2 linked regions of the Drosophila melanogaster genome follow. Changing the gene in region 2 together with the main gene of any one other region gives a genetic interaction. Each region holds a gene or a part of one and is shown on either strand. Other genes may lie near its edges. The genes, in order: Trpml and crq.

Region 1 (8,392 bases), on a different chromosome or scaffold from region 2:
AGGCCTCGCTTAGCACGCTGAATCATTCCGAAACAAACGAAACTAACTGTGATATGGATGGGGGATCGGGAGGAGTGTCAGGATCTGGATCTGGATTAGTGCGTCAACCCAATGCACTGCACAAACCGTTGGCCATGGTGCGGCCGCACCGGATTATTAGTGCTGCCCAGCTACCCCAACTGGGAGATAACGATGATGACTCCGCAGACACGCTGTTGCGGGAGTCTCGCTCCCTGGATCCCATGCCCATGCAGCAACTGCGCAAACGTCACGACAGGGTAAAGTTGCCGCCCTCGAAGTTGTCCAAGAACAATTCCCGATCGCTGGACACGGGTGTATCGCTGATCAGTGGGAATCCCAACGGTGAAGTGCACTCGAGTCAACTGGATTTGGATAACGAGATGACCGCCAACCCGGTGGATGCCACCGATGGCTACGACGATGAGCTGGGCCTTCTGATGCGCCACGACAACGGCCAACTGCCTGCTCTCCGCTATTCAGGCAGCTTTCCCAACGCTCAGATTAGCATTGTTCCTACAGGAAGGTCAGCAGGAGGAGGAGGAGGAGGAAGAGAAGGAGGTGGGAGCAACTGTGCCAAGCATCTGAACAACAACTGCAACGGAGGAGTGAACGTCGAGGATGATCTTGAGTCGCCCCTGCTGCAACGCCAGGCATCGCTGTCGGTGCCGCCAGAGGAGATGCTGGCGCACAACAAACGTTGGCACTCACTGGAGCACATGGATGGTCCCGGTGGGCATGGCGGAAATAGCGTTAGCTATGCCGCCGATATTGATAACCGCCACCCCGGAGATCTGGACTTCTTCAGCGGTTCCTCCAATCAGCATCATAGATCCAAAGCGGCTGGTGGGAGTAAGCTGACTAACTGGATGACTAACATCTTCAAGGGCAACGGCGTGCGTAGCGGTGAGGCTAGGCGAGTAGGAATCCTGCCCAGCGGTGTGCACGGCGCACGAACCGGATTCACGGATATGGCGGCATCGGCAGCAGCCCGCGATCGTGAGAGTATAGTATAGAGATAAGGAGAAGGCAGTGTAGAAACTAAGGAAGAAGGAGCAGGATGACCAGGATGAGCTAAATAGCCGGATGAGAGAGATGGAAAAGTTACTCAGGAACCGAGTCGAGCAGGAAACGATCGTCTTTTGGCTTACTTCTTTGTTTTATGTATTGTAGTTTGTATGGATCGAACGAATTGTGTGTCTGTGTTGGAAGTCATCCACCTATAAACATATACCAGCCGGTTCTTAACTCTTTGATCGCTCTGGCATTGCGGGACTCTACATATGTGTCCTATGGGTTTCCAAACTATTTTTATTCGTTTTCGAGGAAAATCCTGCGATCCCGAAGTAGAAGCGAGCAGAAGCTGAAGCGAAAATCATACATAGCATATATTTTATAACTCTACATACATACATATTAGAGAAGCCGAAAAAACCGTCTAGTCACAAGGTCTTCAGACTAGTTATTGTTTTATATAAAATAAACACACACCCACACATCTAAATGTACGTTTGTAAATGTAACACATAAACACAACGACACACATATTTATACGACGATGGAGAATCAAAATCAAATATTTTATGTAAATGTAATCGAAATTTTCTGCTTTCCATACACGATGCGCAGCAGCAAACAAATTATGCTTAAACAGAAACTAGTTAATTTATGTATTTGAAAATCAAAACGAGCGTGAAAAATGTAATGTATCAATGTGTTTTGCTAGTACGTAGTTAAGTGCGTGTGATTGTACGTAATATTTAAGTCTCTAAAGCTAAAATAATAATTATAATTAATTGAACGCGAATTGTGAGCAGAGAAGAGCGAAAATGCGCCCGATGAGAGGTGTTTTAGCTGTATGTATGTATGTATGTATATTTTTAAATGAAAATTTGTTAAATTTGCCATATATAAATACAAACGAGAAACTATTAAAAGTGTGTTTGTCCAGATATGCTTAAATGGTGCAAAATGTTCAATAGATGGTAGATACGAGGGTGAATCCTGCGGGAAAGACTAGAAACTTGGAGAACACTTCTTCTAAAAGAAACATTTTTAAAATATTCCGAGCACTGGGAACAGTTGTGTTTTGTGTTTCGACAAACATTTCTGAAGTCGTGGTGAATACAAAAAAACATGTTAAGCATATAAGAGATCACTGTAAGTGTGATCTCACGATAAGATCTCTGTAAGTTCTTGCAACTAAAGCCATCGATTCATTGGAACTCCTTTTGAAATGTTTATGCACTGGGAACAGTGAAACGTATGGGAAGACTTCGTGGGTTTTATCAAGAGTTCTTCTTGGGCAGAAAGAAAACATTTGTTTTTTCCTGTGAGTATTATATTTGCTCCAAATGATTATGTATTATTTTACGCTTTTAGTTTATTGGAACTCCTTTTGAAATGTTTATGCACTGGGAACAGTGAAACGTATGGGAAGACTTCGTGGGTTTTATCAAGAGTTCTTCTTGGGCAGAAAGAAAACATTTGTTTTTTCCTGTGAGTATTATATTTGCTCCAAATGATTATGTATTATTTTACGCTTTTAGTTTATTTTTTAACTTCAATTTAATAAGATAACTAAGCATTAGTGACAGATGTTGACATATGTAAGTACGTACGTATGTTTAATGTAAAATACAATGTCAAAAATGAGGTAGCAGTTTTCAAGACCGCAAAATAAAGTTGATTTCTCATAAATTCAAAAATATAAAAAAAGGAAATAGTCATATTTCTTGAACATAAAAGAATAATAAATGGATGGACCTCAATATAATTTTGAATGTACGTCCATGTAGCGTCGATGAGTTAGCTGCGTTAGAGGAACGGCGGAATTTGGAATACGGGGAAGTTTTTAATTAATTATTTTTTCGATATTTAGAGCTGAGTTCTATAAACTGAACTCGTACATAGATAGTTAGATCTTTTCTTTCTTAACATTATTTAATTTTTTTTGGAATTCACCTCCAAATAACGGAAAAAAATAAATAAATAGGAAAGTTCTCCATGTTTCATGTTTCACCGTGCTGCACTTGAATTTTGACTACCGATGAAAAGGCGCGCGATTTAAATAATCGATGATTGCAAGCAACTATCGATGCTGAACTCTATTTGGAACAGTCGATTATATCGAATAAACATCTGTAATCGTTTAAACCTATTGAAAACAAAGCAATTTTCGTGGTCTTTTGGCCAGTATTTAATATAAATTCGCTGGCAAAAGTCGCGTATTAATTGCAAAAGAACACATATTTACCTCCCCTCCCCCGATTGCTTGTTGCGCCTGTGCGGATTCTTCTTTTGCATGTCGACTGGGCGGGCAAAAGAAAGTTAGCACGGAGAACAACAACGCAGGTGACTTGACCTCGCAACGAAGGAGGAGCACATCGAGATGCAGAGCTACGGCCCCGGAGCCCAGACAGCTCCGGCCGTCAAGCGCCGCACGGACAGCTACGAGGCTGCCCAGCAACAGCAGCAGTCGCCGGAGAGCGACGAGGAGTACGTGAACACCAGGATACTGCGGCGCCAAGTGCAGCTGCAGTCCACTCCGGTGGCCCCGGTGGTGCCCATGCCCATATCCGCCGGTAGTGGCACTGCCCCACCCTCCGTGGATGGCCGCGAGGAGCAGCCCGAATTCCCCGGATCCTCGGCTGCATCTTACCAGGAGGAGCGAATGCGCAGGAAGCTTCAGTTCTTCTTTATGAACCCCATTGAGAAATGGCAGGCCAAGCGGAAATTTCCGTACAAGTTCGTTGTGCAGGTGAGTTCACATCCGGGTTTCATTTGCAGTTCACATCTGGATGAATGCTAGTTAATTGAAGTCGTGTGATGCGCGGCGTTTGGGGGCGGAACTCGGGTGACACATCTGAACCACTTATTTAGGCATTTCTCTTAATTTACAGACGCCTTTAAACAGCCGTCTCCGATCTTCAATGTTTGTCTAGATTTCGAGCATGTAAAATGGGGTAGAGTCAACACAGTCTTGATTACTTTGCTTGCATTGTTAAGCCCCTCCACTCTTATCGATGCCTTATCTGATAGGTCCAACTATTGTTAGCACAATACGTAATAAACAAAGTGAAAATTCAAGAATTTTATGGCTAGAAACTGCGTGTGGACGCTTTTGTAGAACCCAAAAAGTTATTTAATATGCGATAAACATCGTGGTCAGGGGGATTTCTTTTGTGCGATTTTTAATGATTAATGCGAAAATGTTATGACTAGTCTTTAAGTCTACACTTAGTCTCTAAGGTCTACAACTAAATTAGATTTCCTGTAGATACCCAATAAATATAGTCTGACGCATGCTCTAACATAATTCGGCTTCTATTTATAGCCCAGCCTCTAGATCTCTGAACTGGCGACCAAGAAAAGGTCCGTCCCCTGAGGCCAAAAGGCAAATAGAAACTTTAAAAGTTATACTATAAACATTTCTTAGCAACTCAAGAATTTTTCTCTTAGATTGTAAAAATCTTTCTGGTGACGATGCAATTGTGCCTTTTTGCCCACTCGCGGTATAACCACATCAACTACACGGGTGATAACCGATTTGCCTTCTCACATCTATTCCTGCGCGGCTGGGATTCTTCCCGGGAGGTGGAGAGTTATCCGCCTGCTGTGGGTCCCTTTGCTCTATACCTCAAATCGGAGTTCTTCGACACTGTGCAGTATGCAGTCAATGGCTACGCGAATGTAAGCCGATCTATTGGACCATACGACTACCCGACGCCCAATAACACAATGCCGCCACTAAAGCTTTGCCTGCAGAACTATAGAGAGGGCACCATATTTGGCTTTAATGAGTCCTACATTTTCGATCCACATATCGACGAGGTGTGTGAGCGACTACCTCCGAACGTAACCACCATTGGGGTGGAGAATTACCTCAGGCAGCGCGATGTGGAGGTCAATTTTGCATCTCTTGTCTCCGCACAGTTGACGTTCAAGATAAAGACGGTTAATTTCAAGGCAAATGGTGGACCTCTTTCTGCTCCTGATTGTTTTCGGTTTGACATTTCCATAACGTTTAACAACCGAGACCATGACGGGCAAATGCTGCTCTCACTGGATGCGGAGGCGACGCGGCTGAAGTGCCACGGAGCAACGGACTTCATATCAGACGCCAATTTCGATTCCATGCTGCGAAGCGTACTTAATATATTCGTCCTACTAACATGCGCACTATCCTTTGCACTCTGTACAAGGGCTCTGTGGAGAGCATATCTGCTGAGATGTACAACTGTCAACTTTTTCCGTTCGCAATTCGGCAAGGAGCTGAGCTTTGACGGCCGACTGGAATTCGTTAACTTTTGGTGAGTCCTTTGTTTTGTGTTATAAAAACCTCGGCTATATTGGCAACAAGTATTACCCATAATGCTGAAGGTTAGGCCGACGTAAACCCAAAAATTATCAGAAAGGTTGCAGACTATAATAAACCGTTTTGCTTTCGCAGGTACATCATGATCATTTTCAATGACGTCCTTTTGATCATTGGATCAGCTCTAAAAGAGCAAATCGAGGGAAGGTACTTGGTGGTGGACCAATGGGATACCTGCTCGCTTTTTCTGGGAATTGGCAACCTGCTTGTTTGGTTCGGAGTGCTGCGCTACCTCGGCTTCTTCAAAACCTACAACGTTGTGATACTGACGCTGAAAAAGGCGGCACCAAAGATTCTGCGCTTCCTTATCGCCGCCTTGCTGATCTATGCTGGATTTGTGTTTTGCGGCTGGCTGATCTTGGGACCCTATCACATGAAGTTCCGATCGCTGGCTACAACGTCAGAGTGCTTGTTTGCGCTGATAAACGGTGATGATATGTTCGCCACCTTTGCCACGCTTTCCAGCAAGGCCACCTGGCTGTGGTGGTTCTGCCAGATCTACTTGTACTCGTTCATATCCTTGTACATTTATGTGGTCCTGTCGCTGTTCATTGCCGTCATAATGGATGCCTACGACACGATAAAGGCGTATTACAAGGATGGCTTTCCCACCACCGATCTCAAGGCATTTGTCGGAACGCGCACTGCAGAGGACATTAGTTCTGGTGTCTTCATGACCGACCTGGACGACTTCGACCAGACGAGCTTCCTTGACGTGGTGAAGAGCATTTGCTGCTGTGGACGGTGCGGTCGGCATCAGGAGCCCGCCCAGCCCAACAGTGGTTACACCAGCCTTTCTAGTATTATGAAGTAACTGGGTGCGCTATGTCGACCCGCAGGTCTTCATTTTGTTTTGTTTTGTCAGCTTTATGTGTGTAGTCAAACTTGTTGTTAGCTTTTTGTATTAGTTTGTTAATTTGCCAAAGCACTTGAACCGAGATAAGAGAAACCATAACGTACGTACCTATGAGAAATTCCAAAAGCAGCTGCTCTGATCACAAACAGCGGGCATGTTCCGATTTTATCTTTCGCAGCAATGGCTTTAATTCGGTTTGCAGAAATATAATTCTGACTGAAATTCATTTTTCTTCAATACAAAAATTACAAAATGTATAAGACCAAAAGGAAAAACTAAATGTAAGGCGAATTTGTGTCATTTCTGCGAAAGTAAAATCCGAAAAATGACTAAGAAAGGGCACCAAGCAACGCTGTACGCTGGGAAACCACAAAGTCGCAAATTTGTTTTTGTAACGCGAGATATTAAGTGTGTGATATAATGTGGAACCAGAATCGGAGAACAATGGAAATTATATTAGAGGGAGCTATTTTTGTTAGCGATATCGACATGGGCCTGGTCAAGATCTTCCATGAAAACGAATGCATCCGAATCGAGTTTTCATAGAAATCTGAAAGTCACAGCAAAAAATTGTATAAAACTGCACTGGTCGACAAAATGAGATTTTTGGCAGTCTAAGCAAATAGTTATTTTAGAAAGTGTTTAGTTCGGCATAACACAACATCGATTTTTGTCGACTTGTGTCAATTTCAGAAGCCATAGATAAGGAAACATTAGGTAACTATATTTTATGTGTACAATGAAAACTTTGTATTTATAACCAAAAACCACAAACACAATAAACTGTTTATAGAACGATTGAATTGAACAAATTGCACTTTGAACCAAAATTTATTACAACGATATGCAACAAAAATGTGTACAACAAAAATAATTAATTGTGAGCTTAACCAAAACGAGGAACAATGAAGTCTACTTTTATCTTCAGATGTAGGTGGCGCAATGTTTTAATGTTTTGACCAGGAAGACAATCGTTAAATTATTTTGTGGTAAGGATACATCCAAAACAGTCAACATAATAAGTGTCAAGAAACCAAGCGAAACATTTCTACAATCGGATAATTGCATTGCAAGAAAAGAAAACCCAATAAAAGGGAAAGGAATAAATGGTTTCACAGTAATTGGACATTTAATAATTTGGCCGATGTTAAATTTTTGCGGTTTTAAGCGTGAATTTCATTGAATGTTTTGCAAGAATTCGCCGAAACGAGATGAGCAAATTTTAATGAAATGGAAAACTGGTTCTCCAATTGACGTAAATTTCATCAGGCAGATGCTGTGCGTCTTCGTTGAAGCGGAAACCGTCCAAGCCAAAGACTTATTTTACTTAATCTTAATTGGAAATTCGAGCCGAGTGGCACCAGCCTGGCCAGTTGGCAGTCTAGCCTTATTCCTCTATGCAAATGTCAAGAGTGGCAAAAATAGACAATGACAATTCAGAAAGGTCCCTCGCCGATCCGCAAAGCACTTTGGCACACTTTAGAGTTGGAGCCACTAGAAATCAGAAAGAAACTGGAAAAAAAGCTGAATAAAACGCTCAAGTTGGTGGCAGTTCGTCACGCCTTTAGACGCCTCTCTGTCAGCTGGCAGTCGTCGAGCCACGACGTACCGCTCTGTGGGCCATAAATGGCTTTAATTTGGCTTTAAAATGATCAAGGTCGCTGCGGGTAAAAAACTGCTTTTAAATTGGAACGGCCAGACGACGCAGAGGAACTACTTAGCAGTCAAATTATAAAAAATAATCGAAGATGTATCTTTCTTCAAGTTTGTTTGAAGAAATACGAACTTGCAATACACTTTCCGGTTAATTTTAGAAAAGAAGCAAACACAGTTTCTTATTTTACTTGACATAGCTAAGATACATTCTTCTTATTGATTATTAATTGTTGAGCCATATCCATTGAATCTCCTCATGTAGAATATAATATCTATATTATTATAAAGTTCTAACTAGGCTTGAATATTTTATTGGTCAAGAAATTTGTATTCGGCATTCCACAGTCTTCGGGTGGAGACGTGTTTCTTTCAAGCTACGAATAGCAAGTTCTAAAAACTACAACAGTATAGTGAAAGTTAAACACAAAGTGTAAAGTGCAGTTTGCACAACTAACAATTATTGACTATAGTAATTATTTACTAAA
Region 2 (9,083 bases):
TGTCGACCCACTCACGATATGCATCCACCCAAAATCTATCGGATACATATGTGCAGCTTCCAGGACCCGGATACTCACCCCTGTACTCTCCTTCGATGGCCAGCCTATGCTCCTCGTATGAGCCTCCACCGCCTCCTCCCCTTCACCCGGCTGCTCTAGCAGCAGCTGCTGCGGCGGGGGCTGGCTCCTCGTCTTCCTCGATGTTTGCGCGATCGCGATCAGATGACAATATTCTGAACTCACTAGATTTGCTGCCCAAGGGAAAACGACTGCCACCGCCGCCACCACCACCGTATGTAAACAGACGGCTAAAGAAACCACCCATGCCGGCGCCCAGTGAAAAGCCACCTCCAAGTGAGTAACTTTACATTTAGATTCATTTCGATATCTTATTAATCTCTCCGATTTTCAGTACCCTCTAAGCCAATTCCTAGCAGGATGAGCCCGATTCCACCACGAAAACCCCCAACGTTGAATCCGCATCATGCGAACTCACCGCTAACAAAGACCTCCAGCGGCGCCCAGTGGGCAGGTGAGCGTCCGAGACCTGACTTGGGTCTTGGTCTGGGATTGAACCGGGGAAACAACAGCATTTTGGCCCAGCTGCAGGCTTCAATGGTAGCCCAGTCTCATGCCCAGGCACAGGCCCAAGCGCTAGACATTGCGCTTCTTCGGGAGAAGAGCAAGCATCTAGATCTGCCGCTGATCTCGGCGCTCTGCAACGATCGCTCCTTGCTGAAACAGACTAAGGTTGTTATAAATCCGAAGACTGGCCAGGAGATGCCCACTTCCAGTGCGCAACCTTCAGGTGCCACCACAAATGGAGTTGCCAACTCCTCTGCAGGAGCAGGAACCCTAAGCAAGGCCAGAAAAGGATCTACCGTAAGCCACCGTCATCCGCAGGACAAACTGCCGCCTTTACCTGTCCAACAATTGGCGGAGGCCAACAACTACGTGATCGATCCCGCTGTCATGATGAAGCAACAGCAGCAGCAGCAGCAGCACAACAAGACCAGCTAGACTCGACAAGCTAATTGGAAACCGGAACGGAAGTGGACATTGGGGGTCCAATACGACACTCTTCTCTCTAGTTCGATTGCTGTTCGAAGTGCTGATGTATGAGTGTGCCCAGGTGAAGAGCTAATTCTGCGTTCGGAAATTTGCATAGATCGGGTGGTGTAGCGTTATATAAATTCGATCACAGTGTTTCGAAGGGTAAAGATTCGCCGGGCACAAAAGGGTAAATGTAAACGAAAACCCACCGTGAGAAACCATTTGTCAGAACAGCAGAAACAATAGCTATTTAGTAGGAACTAACATGCATTTAACTAGCGAAGACAGTTTTTTAGAAAAACACAAACTAGCAGGTCCACCAACTTCAGATGGTAAAATACACGAGCCACTGAAACAACTGAATATCACAGAGTCAATACTTAAGCCTACAGGACGTGAGCAACGTAACCTCAAAATACACATTCAAATAATCAGAACCCAGTCTAGTCACTTAAGGGAATTGGTAACGTAACCACAGCACAGACCACAACATGACACAACATCGGAAATAGAGAGGAAGCTTATCAAAATGGGAAGCAACAATACTCAAGTATAAAATACGACCACTACCTAATTTACTAAACTACATCGTAGATCTTTAGTCTTAGCTGCAAATACTTAGTTAGGCCAGAAATGCGAATACTTAAAACTAACTACTTCCGCCCAAACAACTGTGATTGATTTTTATTTAAACTTATACTAAATTTATAACTATTTTAGTCACCAAGAACAACGCAACATATACTATGCAAATTTTTTAGTACGTAGCAACGTCGCTCTTTATACACACACACACATACTCACAACGAATCGGGCCAGCGGTAGAATCAAGTGAAAAGCATTCAAATCGGCTATGAAATGGTTTGAAATGGGTTTGCTTGCTCCGATCGCTGGACGAAGGGAACTAAAGAATTTCAAGAGTGCCTAGACTTGCCCTCCATCCCCACCATAGTAATAAGCGAGAGATGATTATCATTTATTTTTTGTATCCACTTTGTTTATTATTTTTTGTTCGATTAATAATCCCCCACTGTTTTTTTGGATGTGTTAGTGTGCGTGCAAAAATTAATTTGAGTTTTTGATGGATGTCACAAATATTTGCGTAGATTTTTCTCGACTAAAAGTCTATGGCTAAATTGAGGAATGTGATCTTTGAGAAAATGTAAAATTTTTGCCATATATCTTACATATACACCAATATATATACATATATATAAATAAATATATATACGTATACAATTATTTTTATTTATTAATTTACAAAACAACATTTGAATAATGCATTTATAAAGCAAATCGTTAAAGCATCCAACAATCGTATACGATAAGTAAAAGTCCTGCAGAAAAGCATACAGAAATTGTAAAAAACTATCTTTTCAAAATAAATGAAAATTCAAATAAAAACGTTAAAATAAAATGCACGGAGTGTTTTAGTTGTATGAAGTATTGTTTATCAAGTACGATAACTTAAGTCTCAAACAGAAAGTTTCAACTTGTGAATGATTCGTGTAATATGCAGATAGAGTAAGGTTTTTTTTTTAGAGTTAGAGTAGTTTTTAGTTTTTTTTTTAGAGTAGGTTTTGCTATCACAAACTGCAAGACGAACGTCGATTCGTATCACTTACATATTACATAACGCATAACTGACAAAGAACAGCATTTGACGGGCGACTATCAGAATGAACTAGGAGAGTTAACAATTCCTGGCACTTTGGCAAAGCTTAAAAACTATTTTGCTCTAGTTGGTAAGTATGTCCTCATCCTCGGGAGTTCGCCGCACCCACTTTTTCGTCACAGTCAGCGTGATGCCGGTGATGAGAAAGACACTGGCAAAAGCTATCATGGAATAGCCGAATATGATTCCGTAACTGGACAAATTAATGGCCAACTGAAATGGAAAGTATGGCACTTAAATGAAAGACATTTCAAATATGGATTAGGTCTTACCTTGGCCTTCGATGCCAATTCGGAGGAGAGCTCTGCATACTGATCGAACCAGAACATGGGCATTAAAACCTTTTGCACTCCACGATATATGCTGCAAATAAAATTTACTTTATGACTTACATTTTCCTTGAGACCTTTGCTTTTATGTACGTAATTGTATGAATCGTATGAGTAGTTTTTATCCATGAACTTTTACTTTACTTACTCGAAGTCGTCATCGGGCTCAATCATCATATTAATCTGGATGCGTCCATGCACTTGGACAGGCACTCCAGTAATCGGTTCCACGGCTAGGAAGAACTCGTGCTTCTCCTTCTCCGGCTTCATTCCACTGACAGCATCAACATACGACTGATCCGCTAGGTAAAAGTGAGGGAAGGAGGAGTAAATGGGTGCTTTGTCTCGGCACGCCTTGCACTCCACGACACCGGTCTTGGGACATTCATCAAATCGCGCCTCATCACAGAAGCACGCCTGGTTAGGGTAGTTTTCTCCGGAGTCCAGAGTCTCCTCGGTGCCTACCCACTTAGTGGCGGTCAGGCCGTGATTCTCGTATGTGCCCCGGGGCCGGAGGTTCATAAATCTGCAAGCATCGGTGGCAAAAATCGTAATCTCATCGTTTACATTCATCTTTGGCGGGAACATGTCGCCCGTGGTTCCATTAACAATGCCACAAGGCATCTCGTAAAATCCAGTTTCTGATTTTCCATTCCAGTGGGTAAGTCTACCCAGATTAGATATATCGTCAGTGCCCGTGTGAATAGTAAACAAGCCATCGTAAGTCAGCGACTCATTGCGGTCCGCCAGCCACCCGAAGCGTTTGTAGGGTATGTCGATCTTTGTGGTGTTGAACAGGTTTAGGAAATCGGTAATGTTATCCTGGTAACCCTCGAAGATCCATTCGCCCACCGGCTTGGTTACGTACAACTTTCCGCCTTCATGGTTCAGCATAAAGTTTATGATTTTTTTGACGATCTTGCGCTGGTCTCGCATCTCATCCGCTACCGTGGCGGTAATGGCATGGGCAGCAGTCACCATGTCGTCCAATGTGCCATTGGATCTCTCCGGATCAAAGAACCATGTGCGGCGCTCATAATATGCCACCGTTGCATTATCGTAAAACGTATAGTTCTCCTTCTTGTGCTTTTCCAGGAAGGTGTACGGACCCATTTCCACGAAGTTTGGCTTAATGTCCGGGTTCCTTATGTCCTCGGGATTCGTCCAATTGAACATGTAAAAGCTCAGGTAAATGGGGATAGGTGCCTCCAGCCAGCTTTCATAGGCATCAGTCCCGGGCTTGAGGGTAAGGCCCTGGGTAAAGATTAAGTTCATTTTAGTATGTCGAAATGAAAATCTTTTTTTTTTTTAGTTATCGTTCGGTAAACATATTTCCCTGAACCTGTAATACGCAATCTCGGACGGCTAAATATACTTACATCCTCTACAAGGTTATCTGCAATACCCGGCCAGAAGACCACGATTAGTATTCCCAGCAAAAGGAAAACCGATCCCAAGCCGAAGACCCAGACCTTTCGTTGAGTTTCCCCGCAGCACTTGCAGCACATGGTGGATACGTAGGATTCCAAAGGTTCACGCTTTTAAGGAATAGCCAAGGTGGGAATAATCCAGCCCTAGGCAGTTAGTTGCATCTGGAAGTGAAGACAGTTTGTGGGGTTATTTTTCCTTGTATAATCAATGTCCATAATCCGTATCGAATTTTTATTAGTTTATTTCCCGGTACACCCATCCTGGCACCCTGCAGAGTTGGTAATTTTGAAAATAATAAGACCAAGGCTTATCGCCGGCTGGTCCCTGCTTAAGTATTCGATAAGCATCGGCGATTATAAGTGTATATTTTTGAATATATTTTGCAGTCCATGACAGTTGGAGAAGATTACGTGGGACAGCCCACTTATCCGCACAGTCAACTTCAAGTGCAGACATCCGCAGATCTATTCAGTTTTCTAGCACTTGCCACTGTTTAGGTCGCCTAAACTTACTAGTTTTCAATCAAAGGGGATCGAAAATATTCCGGCCTTAGCACAATCGGAACTATCAAAACCGTACGCGTCCCCTGGCAGGGCGAAACTGGTGGCCAGCGGTCTACTGTGTGTCTTTTAATGGGTTCACTTGACGTTCAATTACCACTCGGTTCGTTTATTAATCTCTGGACTTTGCTAGTCGGGAATATTTGCTTGATTGGCATTAACTTGGATGCGTTTGGAGAAACACAAAAAAGAGATCACTCTACTCGAATTCCTCGACTTTCAGTTACTCGTAACTCAGGTAGCTGGCTGCCACAAAATTTTAATATTTTGGTATTCAGAGTGGGTATGTTGCAAATATTTGTAGCATAGCGATAGAAATGAAAATCTTATCTTTCTAACATTTATAGTTCGCGAGATCAAAGCGTTCATGCGAAGGCGGATGGCTAGATCGACTCGGGTGGTTATTCTGATCGAGTGAGTAGGTTTTATGGCAGATTGATTTACAATAGTTAAAATTCCTTTTAATATTATAAACATTTATAATTATGGTAATTTCATGCCTAGATGTTATTTATGTCCATGCTTGTCTGCAATTCAAATTCATTCAAGTCTAAGATAGTGTTTAGTATCGTTATCTGGGTAATACCCGCATTTCTCGGCTATTTGCTTCTGTGGTTGGTTGGTCAAGATGTTCTCACAAGGGGTTCCTATTTATGGCACTGATAAGATTAGCTTTGTGGAGATACTGATAATTCGGTCGAAATATGCTTTACTATACCATATCAGCCTTGATCCGTCCTGTAATCCAAAGTTCTTTTAATGCAATAGGAACGGGGCCTGTTTTTATCGTAAGTCTGGTGCATATCGTATTGCAATTTCGATTCCCTGCTTTGTTTCCTCCCGTCGACTGACTCAGTCTTGTTTTTGTCGGATTATTGGGCTGGCTCTATACTACAATGAATATTTCTTTGTTTAACGACTGATAACAGGCAAAAAAGGGGGTCTGGAACTACAGTAGAGCCTTTTGAGCTTGTACGAGTCCCAGTAGGATAACTCGAGAATTCATGTTAACTGTTTAAGGCGAATTAATATTAATAATAATTGATTAATATTAAATGGTTTTTAAAATAGTTTGTTGTAAACTGCATTGTGTATGCACTATATATGTTTACTGCATGTTGTCTCTCTTTTGAGGGCGATAGCTTGCATCCCGTGAAATGTTTGCTTTCTGGTTGAACTTAAACCTCGATCAACTTGCGCTTAAAGTGTTGACATCACCAGTTGCGAATTAGGCGTACAGTTATATTCACGTATTATTGCACATTACCGGCTGCATAATTAAAGTGATGAATTACTCACCTTTTATCTCACACACAACTACGTCTTTTAGCATTAGCTTCTGATGGCTCTGTTATTGTTTTGCTTTGGCCTTGACATTTATTATGCCATAGTTCGGAGTAAATTTATTTTTCTGGGACTTCCCGCTTCGATGATCGCTTAGTCCCTTTACCTTTGGTGCCTGGAATCGCAAAAGTACCGTACGAAAGGGATTCAAATTGTCAGACTTCCCTTCTTATTACTTTTACAGCTAAACTCAAGCGTGGGAAGCGCCTTTGGAATTGATCTGAAAGCTGCTATCCAACTAAAAAAAAGGCACTTTCGCGTTGCCGAAGAGGGCAAGCAGAGAAAGATAAACTGCAAACTTGCAGTTTGCTGGGCTAAATTGGATTAAACAATTTATTTCTTTATCTTCGCTGGGCGAGTGTGACCAGAAGCGTTTATATGCGCTGTAACAGCACTGTAAGCAACGTTGCCACAGTTTTTGGATTGACTGTAATGCGAAACAGCTGTTCTGTTAGAGAAGTGGTGACAACCCTAACGACAGTGCCAACCAATCAGCGCAGACCACGACTCACACACACAAACAAAGCTGCCAGCGGCGACAACTACAATTTTTTTACACTTTTGCCAGCATTTAAAATCGTATTTCGAATCAGCTGGTTAAAAAGAATGAATTGCTGAATCAAACAGGATCAAAAACGAAATGCAGCTTATCAAGTGCTTGGTTATAATTCAGCTGTCCCTCTTGCTGGTGGAGGAGTCATTTGCCGGCCGGGACTTCTACAAAATACTGAACGTAAAGAAAAACGCCAACACGAACGAAGTGAAGAAGGCGTATCGCCGTTTGGCCAAGGAGCTGCATCCGGATAAGAACAAGGACGACCCGGATGCCTCCACAAAGTTCCAGGACCTGGGAGCGGCCTACGAAGTCCTCTCCAATCCGGACAAACGGAAGACCTACGACCGCTGCGGCGAGGAATGCCTCAAGAAGGAGGGCATGATGGATCACGGTGGTGATCCGTTCTCTAGCTTCTTTGGGGACTTCGGCTTTCACTTCGGTGGTGATGGCCAGCAGCAAGATGCTCCGCGAGGCGCCGATATCGTAATGGACTTGTACGTTTCCCTGGAGGAGCTATACTCCGGAAACTTTGTGGAAATTGTGAGGAACAAGCCTGTAACGAAACCCGCCTCAGGCACCAGGAAATGCAACTGCCGCCAGGAGATGGTCACCCGGAACCTTGGACCCGGGCGCTTCCAGATGATCCAACAGACGGTGTGCGACGAGTGTCCCAACGTGAAGCTAGTCAACGAGGAGCGCACATTGGAGATCGAGGTGGAACAGGGCATGGTCGACGGCCAAGAGACGAGGTTCGTGGCCGAGGGGGAGCCACATATCGATGGGGAGCCCGGCGACCTCATTGTGCGGGTTCAACAAATGCCGCATCCGCGATTCCTGCGCAAGAATGATGATCTGTACACGAACGTGACCATCAGTCTGCAGGATGCCCTTGTCGGCTTCTCCATGGAGATCAAGCACCTTGATGGACACCTGGTGCCCGTCACGAGAGAGAAGGTAACGTGGCCCGGCGCTAGAATCCGCAAGAAGGGCGAGGGCATGCCCAACTTTGAGAACAACAACCTCACCGGCAACCTGTACATCACCTTCGATGTGGAGTTCCCCAAGAAGGATCTTACGGAGGAGGACAAGGAAGGTTAGCATATACATTATCACAAGAGTAATTGTTTCATTAATAAACGTTTCTAATTCTAGCGCTCAAGAAAATACTCGACCAATCCTCCATCAATCGCATATACAATGGACTGTGAATACCCATGTTTCATCCCCAATAAAAGTGCTCGCCGGCTGTACTCTAGTTTTTAAATGCCTAACTAACAGGGCGACTTTGATTTGGGAACGCCCCTAATTCAAGAGATGACTTTGTTCAAAAAAGTTGTGCGAAAACAATTTAATTTTAGTTTAGAATTTTGTAAAATAGCAAAAGTGTAATGAGAGGGAACTATTAAGGCGGTTCCTGCCGACAAAAAGGAATTGCAACAAAAACCAACCCCCACAAAATAAAGCGGATTTAAATTATATACAACTTTGCGGAAGCTACTATTTTTGATTTACTGTTTTTAAAAGGGATTTTTTGATTGTCTCAGAAATAATTTAATTTGAAAACTATTATATTAAGACAATCGATAGGCTGCATTATTGCAACCTTGGCTCAGCTGTCGATAACTGGCGCAGGAATCCGCAAGAAGGGCGAGGGCATGCCCAACTTTGAGAACAACAACCTCACCGGCAACCTGTACATCACCTTCGATGTGGAGTTCCCCAAGAAGGATCTTACGGAGGAGGACAAGGAAGGTTAGCATATACATTATCACAAGAGTAATTGTTTCATTAATAAACGTTTCTAATTCTAGCGCTCAAGAAAATACTCGACCAATCCTCCATCAATCGCATATACAATGGACTGTGAATACCCATGTTTCATCCCCAATAAAAGTGCTCGCCGGCTGTACTCTAGTTTTTAAATGCCTAACTAACAGGGCGACTTTGATTTGGGAACGCCCCTAATTCAAGAGATGACTTTGTTCAAAAAAGTTGTGCGAAAACAATTTAATTTTAGTTTAGAATTTTGTAAAATAGCAAAAGTGTAATGAGAGGGAACTATTAAGGCGGTTCCTGCCGACAAAAAGGAATTGCAACAAAAACCAACCCCCACAAAATAAAGCGGATTTAAATTA

The links.
Region 1: of crq (region 2) and Trpml, changing one suppresses a phenotype caused by changing the other (phenotypic suppression), as found in Drosophila melanogaster (one study listed by BioGRID).

What each region holds. Positions count from the first base shown.
Region 1 is NT_037436.4:19,713,086-19,721,477, reverse strand, and holds Trpml (transient receptor potential cation channel, mucolipin), read left to right. Parts: upstream 1-3,149; 5' UTR 3,150-3,409; coding exon 3,410-3,778; intron 3,779-4,479; coding exon 4,480-5,330; intron 5,331-5,470; coding exon 5,471-6,209; 3' UTR 6,210-7,060; downstream 7,061-8,392. Other genes in the region: CG42637 (uncharacterized protein), read left to right, coding at 1-1,034.
Region 2 is NT_033779.5:446,230-455,312, forward strand, and holds crq (croquemort), read right to left. Parts: upstream 6,796-9,083; 5' UTR 6,348-6,795; intron 5,074-6,347; exon of another isoform or gene 5,001-5,073; intron 4,650-5,000; 5' UTR 4,566-4,649; coding exon 4,437-4,565; intron 4,312-4,436; coding exon 3,206-4,311; intron 3,092-3,205; coding exon 3,001-3,091; intron 2,942-3,000; coding exon 2,792-2,941; 3' UTR 2,025-2,791; downstream 1-2,024. Other genes in the region: ex (expanded), read left to right, coding at 1-354, 413-1,020; shv (shriveled), read left to right, coding at 7,033-8,041, 8,101-8,156.